3 linked regions of the Callithrix jacchus genome follow. The protein of the gene in region 1 interacts with the protein of each later gene in a biochemical or structural test. Links are inferred from orthologs where the notes say so. Each region holds a gene or a part of one and is shown in the gene's direction. Other genes may lie near its edges.

The links.
Region 2: the proteins of SH2D1B (region 1) and SLAMF1 interact in a test that uses a peptide from one of them, tested with the Homo sapiens proteins (2 studies listed by BioGRID). The link is inferred for Callithrix jacchus from reciprocal best matches to the Homo sapiens genes SH2D1B and SLAMF1.
Region 3: the proteins of SH2D1B (region 1) and ERBB2 form a complex in vitro, tested with the Homo sapiens proteins (2 studies listed by BioGRID and IntAct, with this or other methods). The link is inferred for Callithrix jacchus from reciprocal best matches to the Homo sapiens genes SH2D1B and ERBB2.

What each region holds. Positions count from the first base shown.
Region 1 is NC_133519.1:39,150,690-39,155,111, forward strand, and holds the start of SH2D1B (SH2 domain-containing protein 1B), read left to right. Parts: upstream 1-1,542; 5' UTR 1,543-1,662; coding exon 1,663-1,796; intron 1,797-4,422. UniProt on the Homo sapiens protein: Cytoplasmic adapter regulating receptors of the signaling lymphocytic activation molecule (SLAM) family such as CD84, SLAMF1, LY9 and CD244. In SLAM signaling seems to cooperate with SH2D1A/SAP.
Region 2 is NC_133519.1:20,570,597-20,574,243, reverse strand, and holds part of SLAMF1 (signaling lymphocytic activation molecule), read left to right. Parts: intron 1-1,868; coding exon 1,869-2,153; intron 2,154-3,647.
Region 3 is NC_133506.1:120,167,597-120,171,243, forward strand, and holds part of ERBB2 (receptor tyrosine-protein kinase erbB-2), read left to right. Parts: intron 1-435; coding exon 436-587; exon of another isoform or gene 588-650; intron 651-1,461; coding exon 1,462-1,675; intron 1,676-2,746; coding exon 2,747-2,881; intron 2,882-3,246; coding exon 3,247-3,315; intron 3,316-3,519; coding exon 3,520-3,635; intron 3,636-3,647. UniProt on the Homo sapiens protein: Protein tyrosine kinase that is part of several cell surface receptor complexes, but that apparently needs a coreceptor for ligand binding. Essential component of a neuregulin-receptor complex, although neuregulins do not interact with it alone.

The sequences.
Region 1 (4,422 bases):
TTCACTTATCCCTCTACTCACAAGTCTTTCAGTTGTTTGTCATCTTTTTCGATTAAAAATACTACCTTATTCACAAGTTATTTTCTAATCCTGCCTGTAGTTTTGTGATAGATTTCTAGACTGAGATTGTTCTATTAGATCGTGAAGGCATACACAAATGTGCAAGGCATTGTCAAACTCTCTTTTACTATAGTTGTAACTATTTTGTATCCTAACCAAGATACAAGATGTTCTATTTTCTTTCACCATCACCAATCCAGTAAGTTTTCACATTTTTGATTTTTTTCACCAATATGATAGGTGAGAGATGTTCTCTCAGCATGGATTTAATTTATATTTCTTTTACTCTGAGGATTGAATTTTGAAACAGGAAAAAGGTCCAGCAAGCCCCTGTGATAACCAAGAGCCTGAGCATACTTTCAGTTATTTTCTCTTTTATGTCAAAAACATCTTCACACGATGATTGTGAATGTATTCCCAATAATTACCGAATTTCTTCTTTCATCATTAATAACTCTGTCTTCAACTGCCATAGTTCCCAGGGAAATATAATAATGAATTGTCCAAAACCACAGAAGAAAAGTTGGTATTTGAGAGCAGCTCTCTCTGATAACAAGTTCCTTGATCCGTGAAACTACGCTATGCCAAACAGCAAAGAGTGGGAATTCCAAGGAAGAACAAAGACCGTTACAAGGAAGTTTCCTGAAAGATACACCCCAAGTGTGAGTAAACAGCTGGTAAGCAAAGTAGCAATGTGAAATACACATCTGGGTTAAGAAGAAGTTAAGATTCCAGGTATCTACAGAGATGAAGAAAAAGAAAAAGAAGAAGTGAAATAAAGATACGTCACGAACTCATCTTTTCTATTTTAGTTTCATTTTCATGGATTCATTTTTGAGATATATAGTGATTTCCTGTGGATATTTGAGTATACCAGTTAACCCTCCCACCTGCACCAGCCCTTTCTCCAAAAGGTACAATGCTTGAGGGTGTTAAAAATGGCGCTTTTTTTTGCCAGTTGCTAGGAGCCTTAGTCATGGAATGGGCTGTCCTCATCCACAGTGTCCCACTGTTTTCTATTCCCATTAATATCTTCCATTTTTGGTGTCATTTGATCCATGGAAATGCCACCGTTTCAATTTTCCCACTGTATCTGAGCATATCAATTCTCTCAGCATCCCAATGCTTTTTGAGCACCCAGTCTACGCTAAGCATAGCCCAATCCTATGCAACTTCAGCAGAGAATGGGTACCATTACTGCAAAAGCGATGCTGTGCTTCCTGCACAGGATGCCAGTAGCCAGAGAAGGTGATGATAGTACATGGTAATATACAGGCTGCAACGCAGTTCCAGAGAGCTTGACTTCAGCGTTGTCTCCCTAGCGATGAGCTTCACTGATTCCACTGTGTATTTAAATGTGCTTTACCCCTTTCTGTGAGTCACATGTGGGCCACATAGAGGATAAAATGTGTTGGTCATTTTATCACCCCGCCCTTCTCATTTCCTGAATCTCATGAAGCTGGTTGAGTCTCACAGATCACTAGAGACAGAGCTATTTCCACAGGAGGCACAACTGCTTCCACATCCCTCCTCAGAGCTGTCCCTTGGCTTGGGGGTGAATTTCAGGCCAACAGGGCTGCCTGGGATACAAGAGCGTTCTCCATGGATCTTCCTTACTACCACGGCCCTCTGACCAAGCGAGACTGTGAAACCTTGCTGCTCAAGGAAGGGGTGGATGGCAACTTTCTGTTAAGAGACAGCGAGTCGATACCAGGAGTCCTGTGCCTCTGTGTCTCGTGAGTAGCCTCATCTTGCACACATGTGACATCGTACATTGAATGCGGCAAAGGCACAGTAAAGGAATACATATCCCTCAGTGTTTCACTCTGATGTTGCAGTCAAAATGCATAAAGTGAGAAATAATGAGCAGTGCCAGGAGAGGCATGTGTCTGTCCGTGCTCCCCCATCTGCCTTGCTCTCCCTGGTGTAAAGGCCTGCAAGCAGACTCTGCAGCAGCAGGAGGGATATGGTGGTGGTGAAGGGAAGGGCTGAAGAAGAGGGGTACGGGGGGATGGAGAGAAGGTACTGTTCTCCAGAGATCTGTTTATTTGGTATGGAAAAGGCTAGGGGTTTTAAAAGAAATTTCAATCTGAAAGACTACTTATTCTGCAGTATCCACTTGCAATACTTAAACTATAAATCCTAATAATATTTCACATTTTGTTAGATTTGTAAAGGACTTCAATATTCGTCATTTTCTTTCATTCTTGTAGTCTATCAAGGTAAGCATAAGCAGTCACCATTTCATAGGTAAAGAAACAGAGACCTTGGTTTCTCAAATAATTTGTGTTAAAACTAATTTGGAATTTCCAGAGTCTAAGTTAAATATGAAATTCCAGGCTGGGTGTCATGGCTCATGCCTGTAGTCCCTGCACTTTGGGAGGCTGAGGCAGGGGGATCACTTGAGGTCAGGAGTTCGAGACTAGCCTGGCCAACACGGTGAAACCCCATCTCTACCAAAAATACAAAAATTAACTTGGTGTGGTGGCGTGTGCCTGTAATACTGGCTACTTGAGAGGCCAAGGCAGGAGAATCTCTTGAACCCAGGAGACAGAGGCTGCAGTGAGCCAAGATTGCACCACTGCACTCTGGCCTGGGCAACAGAGTAAGACCCTGCCTCAAAAAAAGAAAAAAGAAATTCCAGGCTACAATATCAAAGAGACCCAGTGGAAGGAACTTGCTTATGCCCAGTTTAGAAAGCAATCCTAAACAGAAATCTGAACAGATATCACTAGAAACCTCCTATCTTGATGTATTTTCCTCTTTGTAAAGTAGGGGCCACTGAACCTGTTATTATACCTGTAACAGAAAGTGAAACCCCGGTGTCTCTTGTTAAAGAAAAAAATTACTCTATGTCATTTGTTAAATCATGGTTGGGAAGACTTTACTCAGGATCATCACAATAGGTATAGGGACCACTGCAAGGAGCTCTTAGTGCAGAGGAAAGATTGGACTCAACTCTGAGTACAGCACGGACAAGTGGGAATTTATGGCCAAGGAGTAGTGTGGGATCAGTGGCTAGAAAATTACTCAGAGGAAACATCAGGGGTAAAGGGGATTCTGGCTAAGCCAGCCTAACAGAATTGTAGCTGAAGACAGACCAGGGTGATCAGTTGTTGCCTGGGGGATGGTGGAGGAGGAGGAATCTCATCAGAACCTGACAGTGATCAGATAGCTAGGGCGAGGTGTCCTTGCCAAACTGACTTAGTAGGGTTCTTTGCTAAAACTGGATTTTACAAGGAAGTACACAAATGGGCCATGGAGTAGGCTCAGAAGTCTGATTACAGACAAAAGTGATTGTCCTTACTAATAGAATACATTGGGACACACTTCTTTCTGTAAATGATACTGGAGAGACAGGCTATCTCTCTTATACCTACATCCACAGTACCATTTAAAGAAAAATATATGTTGGCTAGGAGCGGTGGCTAACGCCTATAATCCTAGCACTTTGGGAGGCTGAGGTGGGCAGATCACTGAGGTCAGGAGCTCAAGACCAGCCTGGCCAACATAATAAAACCTTCATCTCTACTAAAAATACAAAGATTAGCTGGGCATGGTGGGGGTATCTGTATCACAGCTACTCAGGAGGCTGAGGCACGAGAATCGCTTGAACCTGGGAGGCAGAGGATGCAGTGAGCTGAGATGGCACCACTGCTATCCAGCCTGGGAGACAGAGAGACTTTCCGTCTCAAAATAAAATAAATAAGCAAATAAATAAAGAGTGGGTAAGATCTGGTTACATAGAAATGGGATGGAAGGTGCTTTAGGAAGGGGAGGAGGTAGGAACAGTGGTCTAGAAGTTGGATACTTTAAAGTATGTACATACAGGGTTCCTAAAATGTCATTTGGAAACCAGCTTTTGGAGAAGGAGGATGGGATAAGATCAGGTAGTTTTAAAAGAGTGGTTCTAAAGCTAATGGGGAAACATGGATGGTTTTTGAGCGGAGAAGTGACAAGACTAGTGAATTTAGAAACTTAAATCTGACATGAAGAACACAGTGAAGCTGGAAAATGATGGCAATAGAAACTGTTGTGCCTCTGGATGGGAGATGGTGAAGAGCTAGCTGTGATGGTGCAAGCAGCGAAAAGGGAAAAAAGAAGGTGCAAGGACAGACTGGCCAGGATCTCAGGGTATACGGTCAATATTGGGATTCTCCCTCCTTCCCTCCCTCCCTCCCTCCCTCCCTCCCTCCCTCCCTCCCTCCCTCCCTCCCTCCCTTCCTTCCTTCCTTCCTTTTTTTTTCTTTCTTTTGTTCTTTCTTTCTTTCTTTCATTCTTTCTTTCTTTCTCTCTTTTCTTTAGACAGGGTCTCACCCCAACTCCCAGGCTGGAGTGCATAATCATGGCTCACTGTAACCT
Region 2 (3,647 bases), about 19 Mb from region 1:
TCTCTCTCAAAAGCAAAGGGTATTCAGAATTGGAAGTAACTTGAATGATCTTCTAATTCAAGGGTATTTAAACCTGTTGTTGGGAAGACGTTTTAAAGGTTGACATTTTTTTTCCAAATTGAACATTGATGGTAGCACTAGTTACTCCTACTCCCATTTCCCAAAGAAAAGGGGGCAGCTCCCTGTGGGCTGGAGGGCCTATATCTTCAAGAATCTTGGTTTGCAAATAAGATTTTATTTGAAAATAGGATTTTTTTCTGATTAAAAAAATTGAATACCACAGATGAAACCCAGCCTCTCTCATACACGCAGACACTGAAAGCTAGAGAGAAGCGGTTAGCACATTTACACACATTCATGTAGGTGTTTCACTGCACTGGGGTTCTGGATAAAGAAGGCTGAAATCCAGCCCACATGCCACTTGCTAAGCCCTGCACTCCCGCACCAGATCACACCTACCGGGTGGGAGAAGTGCCTTTTTTGCATTTAAACAAAGGCTTTGGTTATAAAGTCTGTAAGTTGCTGCACTTCAACTAGGAACCAGGTCCACCTGATTCCAAGGAGAGTGGTTTTTTGAGCCTCTTTAACTGCCTGTCCCTCTTGAGTGCACTCAGGGATTGTGTCTCTTAGACCCAGAGGCTCATCTGAATTCCCAGGGGTCCTGATAGCCATGTGGGGCTTTTCTGCTTCTTCAAAATGACATCCTTATGTCTGGGGATGGGACAGGAATTCCCACATAACCAGCATTTGTTTGAAATTCTCAAATATCTAGAGGGAAGACAGCAATACTTTCACGCGTCCTCCCTTGTCCCGGCATTTCCTTCCTTCAAACAGTCCCTGCAGAATTCCCGTGGCACTCCAACAGTGACTCCGGGGCAAGATTGCCATGAGCATGGAGGCTGCACAAGATGCATTTTCAAAACAGTGTGGATGCCATACATTCCATCCTTTTGTTCCTAGTTTCCTGTTTTTGTCACATCTGTGATCAAATTCTTACTTTGGAAAATGTGGCCTCTGCAACCATGGCATCAAGCCAAGGGAAGAGTTTGGATTTCGCAGTAAGACAGTTCTAGGTTCGGATCTTCACTTGGCCACTTAGAAGCTGGGAGATGTAAGACATTCCACCTCCCTGGGACTTGGCTTTCTCATCTGTAAAACAGGAATAATTATAACTAGAGTTATAATTGTTGAGAAGATTTAAAAAGATGGTAAATGAGCACTGTGATTGTCCTATAATAGTTGCTAAATAAGCAAGGTTTTACCTTTTAGCTGGGCTATTTCATGGCCTTAGAGTGGAATAGACTGATGAGGTCTATGGTTATAATTGAGGACCTATCTCTATCTCGGACACACAAAAGCACTTGCTACACACCCACCCACTCACCCATGAACAGGCATATGCTTGCACGCATGCACGCATGCTCACACGCATACACACACACACACCCTGCCACACCCATTACTATAGATGAAATCCCACTACTAAAAAGTCATTCTTTTAGGTCTGGGAAGTAACAACATAAGCCAATTAAAAACCATAATGGATGAGTTGACAGCAAACTCCACCGATAGGAGACAGGAGAATAGCAACCTAGGTCAAGAACATCAGTAAGGGCGAATGAAGCCCTCACAGTATTGGTGGAAGGGGCCTAAAAAGCAAATTCTTCTTTTCTATTTTATCCCAAGGTGGTCTTAGAAAGAGTGTAGCGGGCCATGAGGAATAGTGTGAAGCAATAGAGTCCCCGCTAGAAATATATCACACTGAGGGGGAGGGAGAATGCCATTAGTCTTTGTCCTAACAGAAAGGTCAAGTGAGAATTCCCAGGGGTTCATTTCAGTGATGGCTCCCTTCCTCCTACTCCTGACAGAGCAGGTCTCCACTCCAGAAATTAAAGTGTTAAACAAGACCCAGGAGAACGGGACGTGCACCTTGATACTGGGCTGCATAGTGAAGAAGGGGGACCATGTGGCTTACAGCTGGAGTGAAAAGGCTGGCACCCAACCACTGAGCCCAGCCAACAGCTCCCACCTCCTGTCCCTCACCCTCGGACCCCAGCATGCTAAAAATATCTACGTCTGCACTGTGAGCAACCCCATCAGCAACAGTTCCCAGGACTTCATTCCATGGCTCAGATGCAGGCAAGAACCCTCAGGTGAGTGTGCTGGTGGCAGCCTGTGTGCCCCCTTACTGAGCATGGGCTCAGTCTTCACCTGGCCCCGTTGCTCCCCAGCCATGGCATTCACCTTAGTGACAATACTTCACATATTCTTTATAGTTTGCAAAAGTTGTCCACGTGCTCCTTTTGGTGAGCTCACTCTCATGGTGACCAGGGTGGCATTACTATGCTCTGTTCATAGTTGAGGAAACCGACAGGAAATGATAGAGCCAAACCAAGAGCCTAAGACTCCAAGGCACAGCCTTCTTCTGTGCCTCTTTCCTTGGCTCCAACCCGCAAGGTTGGCTGGGTGAGGCGGTGTAGGTGGGAGGCCTGGCTCCCAAGTCTATGCTCTACTAATGCTGGGGCAGTTCTACACCATCAATAAGTATTTATTGATCACCTACCTGATACGAAATGGTGAATAAATATATGTGATTTCTAGCAATTCATTGTAAAGATAAGACATAAAACATTTGTTCAATAGTGAGACACAAGATATAATGAAGGGCCTCGTTTCATGGAATTGACTGTGAATCCCGTAGCAGGACCAGGAGAGTCAGAAAGAGAGACTAAGAGTTGGACTGTGAAGTTTGAGGAATAATGATAAATTGCATAGCGCTTTATCATTAGCAAAGCACTCTCGACTGCTAATCTCTTTTGATTCTCACAATAACCTTGCCAGATAGGTGTTATTATACTTTCATTTTACAGACGAGGAAATTGACGTTCATAGTATTTAAGGACCCTCCTCAAGCTTTTTAAAATTGTAAATAGTGGTGTTAGTCCCTAAACCTAAATCTTTCTTTCTCTCGAGAAAGACTGTTCTTTCTCGAGAAAGAAAAGCATTATTATTCTGTCAGCAAAAGGAAGAGAGAGCTTATTAAGTAAGCCCATCTAACAGCATAGAACACAGGCCCTTTTCACCAATAGATCTTGTGTCCCTGCCTCAGGCAGGTTCAGGGACAATAGGACCAGGGTGCTTGCTCTGCAAAGCATTGCTTACACCCTGACGTTCTCCTCTCTGCATCCACTGGGGGTTCATAGGAATCATTCCAGTGGGTCTTCTGCCCACAGGAACCATGGTGCCCATGTGGGGGGCTTTCCCAGGTGGTCATGGATGAAGGGACAGGGGAATTCAGTCAAGTAGTGCCCTTCCACATAGTGCTGCCTGTCACAGAGACTATCCTGGAGTATTCCCAGATAGACTGCTGGGAAATCCCACCTGGCCTCCTCTGTGCACCTGGGAGTGCTTTAGTGAGTCTAACCCACTGCTTATGTTTCTTCCCCAGCCATTTCATAGCCAGAGTCCCCAGTCTGTTCAGTTACTGGCTGTGTCTGGCTGCTTGTCCACCTTGCATACAAACCTCATTCAGAGGCTAATGCCCAGCTCTCCCCACCCACAGTCATTTAGAAGGTGCTGGCAGGACAATCAAGCAGGGCAGCATAGTGGGTAGCATATAGAATGTGGCCCCGGAAGTTCTAGAGCCA
Region 3 (3,647 bases), on another chromosome or scaffold:
GCCCCAAGTTTGTTTGCTTGGGAGAGGGGCAGGGGGTATCCAGAAGATTCATGATTCATCATCGCCTCTCTTGGGGGATTTTTACCCCTGGCTCTGAGTTGTGCCTTTGGGACAAAGGGAGTCTTTCTTTTCCAGCCAACACCCTGTGCTGGCGGGTAAGCTCCACAGGGCTGGCACGCTGGGGCAGCCTCTGGATGCACAGGGTGGGCCCAGTCAGAAGGAGCCTCTCCCCTGAAATCCCTCTACTTCCCAAACACACAAGCTTTCTTCTGCTGTTAACCCTGCAGGTTCAAGGGATGTGGGTGGAAGGGTCCTTCAGTCAGGCCTTCTCCCTGTTTGAGGTGGCATGACCCTGGGAATGAGTTTGGATGGGGTGGCTAGATCTGAGAAGGTCCCTGGCCAGTGTCCTCTGACCCATCTGCTCCCTCCTGCCAGTGTGCACCGGCACGGACATGAAGCTGCGGCTCCCTGCCAGTCCTGAGACCCACCTGGACATGCTCCGCCACCTCTACCAGGGCTGCCAGGTGGTGCAGGGTAACCTGGAACTCACCTACCTGCCCGCCAATGCCAGCCTCTCCTTCCTGCAGGTGAGGCCCATGGGCAACCCAGCCAGGCCCTGCCTCCAGCTGGGCTGAGCCCTCTGTTTACAGGTGGGTGGCAGAAGACGGTGCCCTGCCCTTTATTTCCTCTCTTGTTGTTTCTCAACCAGGAAGTCCTTTCCAGCGTCCAACCCCCATTCGTTTTACTGCAGAATCAGTTGACTCTCTATAATGTGGCTGGCCGAGGACATCTCTGGATGGGATGCATCTGGGTTTCTGCTATAGCTTGTGCTCTCTTGTCAGCATGATCATGTCCCCCATCCACCTGCCCCAGCCACTGTCCCGCTCCCATCCAGAGCAGAAAGGGCCGGTGAGAAAGGTGGATTACAGGCCCAGTTCTGCCACTGACAAGCCCTATGAATGTGGCCTACACCCGCTTCGCTTCACTGGGTCTCAGTGTCCCTATCTGTTTATTGGGAGCAATAGGTACCCATTGTGAAGCTCGAAAGAGAAATGTCTGTGAAAACGTTATGAGCAGGAGAGAGAGTGTGGAAACCAGCCTGCTGGGTCATGTCCACGGACCCTGGAGTGGGGTCACCTGCTTGGTTTGTCAAATTGTAGACGCCATCCCATCCAGGCCTTTGCTTTCACTGAGGAAGAAACTAAGATGCAGAGAGGGTGGGGCACCTGCTCAGAGTTTACAAAGTGCCCCCCACCATTATCTTTCTTGATCATGTAAGAATCTGGTGAGACAAGGCGGGACATCACCTTTATCTCCATTTTATCATTTTATATATGAGGGAACAGGACTGCTCCGTGGCTGGGGGCCTTGCCCAAGATCCCTAAGTACTGGGGAACCTCAGGGAGGCCTTGGGGGGTAGTAGTGTTCCTGCTTCAGCCCCACCCTACTGCTCCCTACCAGGATATACAGGAGGTGCAGGGCTACGTGCTCATCGCCCACAACCAAGTGAGACAGGTCCCGCTGCAGAGGCTGCGGATTGTACGAGGCACCCAGCTCTTTGAGGACAACTATGCCCTGGCTGTGCTAGACAACGGAGACCCTCTGGACAATACCACCCCTGTCACAGGGGCCTCCCCAGGAGGCCTGCGGGAGCTGCAGCTTCGAAGCCTCACAGGTGGCCTTCACCATCATTGAAACTTTCTCTTGGTTATTCAGAGCTGACCAGAGCCACAGCTGACCATGGGGAGGCTTTGTGTGGATTAGAAATGGTGTCCCCTCTGCTGGGCACGGTGGCTCACGCCTGCAATCCCAACACTTTGGGAGGTGAGGTGGGTGGATCACCTTAGGTCAGGAGTTTGAGACCAGCCTGACCAACATGGAGAAACCCTGTCTTTACTAGAAATACAAAAGTTGCCTAGTGTGGTGGCGCGTGCCTATAATCCCAGCTACTTGGGAGGCTGGGGCAAGAGAATCCCTTGAACCCAGGAGGTGGAGGTTGGTTGCGGTGAGCTGAGATCATGCCATTGCACTCCAGCCTGGGCAACAAGAGTGAAACTCCATCTTGGGGGAAAAAAAAAAAAGAAATGGTGTCCCTCTAGGCAGATGCAGGCAGAGCCCAGGAAGATGCCCTCAGAAGATTGGGAAAAGATTCCCTGTCTTCCTAGGAAGGTGCAGCTTGCATCAGCACACATCATTCAATCATAGAATGCAGGCTGGGTTTTTGCCCCGACTTGGCTGAGTGAAGCGTACAGTGAACAACCCATGTCACTATTGGGTGGTCTGGAGCCGACTGTCCCCAGAGTCTGGGTGCCATGTGCTTTGCCTGCAGGGTCCCATTTCAGTCAAGCTGCAGTCCTGTCAGGAAAGAATCAGTGATTCTCATTCTACAGATGAGATAAGGGACAAAAGTTACATAGCGAGTGAGTGATGGGGCTGGGTTTCAGATTCCACAGTCTGTTAACCGCCAAGCAGCATGCCCAGAGTAGAGGTGAGAGGGGAGGAGAAAGCTGTGGTCCACGTCGGCATCTGGACCTAGCATGGACAACTCACTTCTCCCTGGTCTTGCTTTGTTCATGTGGTGGAGGTGGTATTGGTGGGGCTTGAAGATGCCGAAGATCTCTTCTCTCCTCCCTGGGAAATCAGGGGGTTTAAAAGGCCTGCTCCTGTCTTAGAAGGCATGAGGGCCCCAAGGGAGGCAGAAGGTGACCGAAGGGGAAAGGATCCCTGATCATTGCTCACCCCACAGAGATCTTGAAGGGAGGGGTCTGGATCCAGCGGAACCCCCAGCTCTGCTACCAGGACATGGTTTTGTGGAAGGACATCTTCCACAAGAACAACCAGCTGGCTCTCACACTGATAGACACCAACCGCTCTCGGGCCTGTAAGCCATGCTCCCCCTGCCACTCCTTCTCTCGGACAGCCTGACCCCAGCCCCAGACTCCTGACTTACAACCCAGAGCCCGCCCGCCACTGCCCCAGCTGCCTCCACCACTCATTTCCTCCCTCTCCGTCCCTCCTGCCATCTCTCTGTGCCTCTTCATCTCTGGCTCTGGGGTTCCCTGTCCTGTCTCCCTCTGCCTCTAGGTGGTGCCTCTGGTTTGGGGGCCTCTCTGTCTGTTGGGGTCCCTCCCTTGCTGTGCAGTTGGCCTTGTGGCCTCTGCTGCTGTTTGTGTGTCTCTCCGTTATTAACCTGTCCTCTTGCTGTTAGACATCTCTCTCACTGCCTCTCTCTGGTTCTGTCCTCAGGCCACCCCTGCTCTCCGGCGTGTAAGGGCTCCCGCTGCTGGGGAGAGAGTTCTGAGGACTGTCAGAGCCGTGAGTCTCAGGGAGGCCTGGAGTCAAGGGAGGGGAGGGCCAGGGCAGGGTGAAATACAGGTGTCATACAGGTGACAAGGGAGGGGTGGGATAACAGGTTTGGGATGTCTTCCCTGGGGTAGGTAGTATCCCTAGAAGGTGATGCTGATGAGGGTCTAGTGTCCAGGGTGCTATTCAGCCCTCATCCTTCCCTTTACCCAACAGTGACACGCACTGTCTGTGCCGGTGGCTGTGCCCGCTGCAAGGGCCCGCTGCCCACTGACTGCTGCCATGAGCAGTGTGCTGCCGGCTGCACGGGCCCCAAGCACTCTGACTGCCTGGTATGTGCCTCT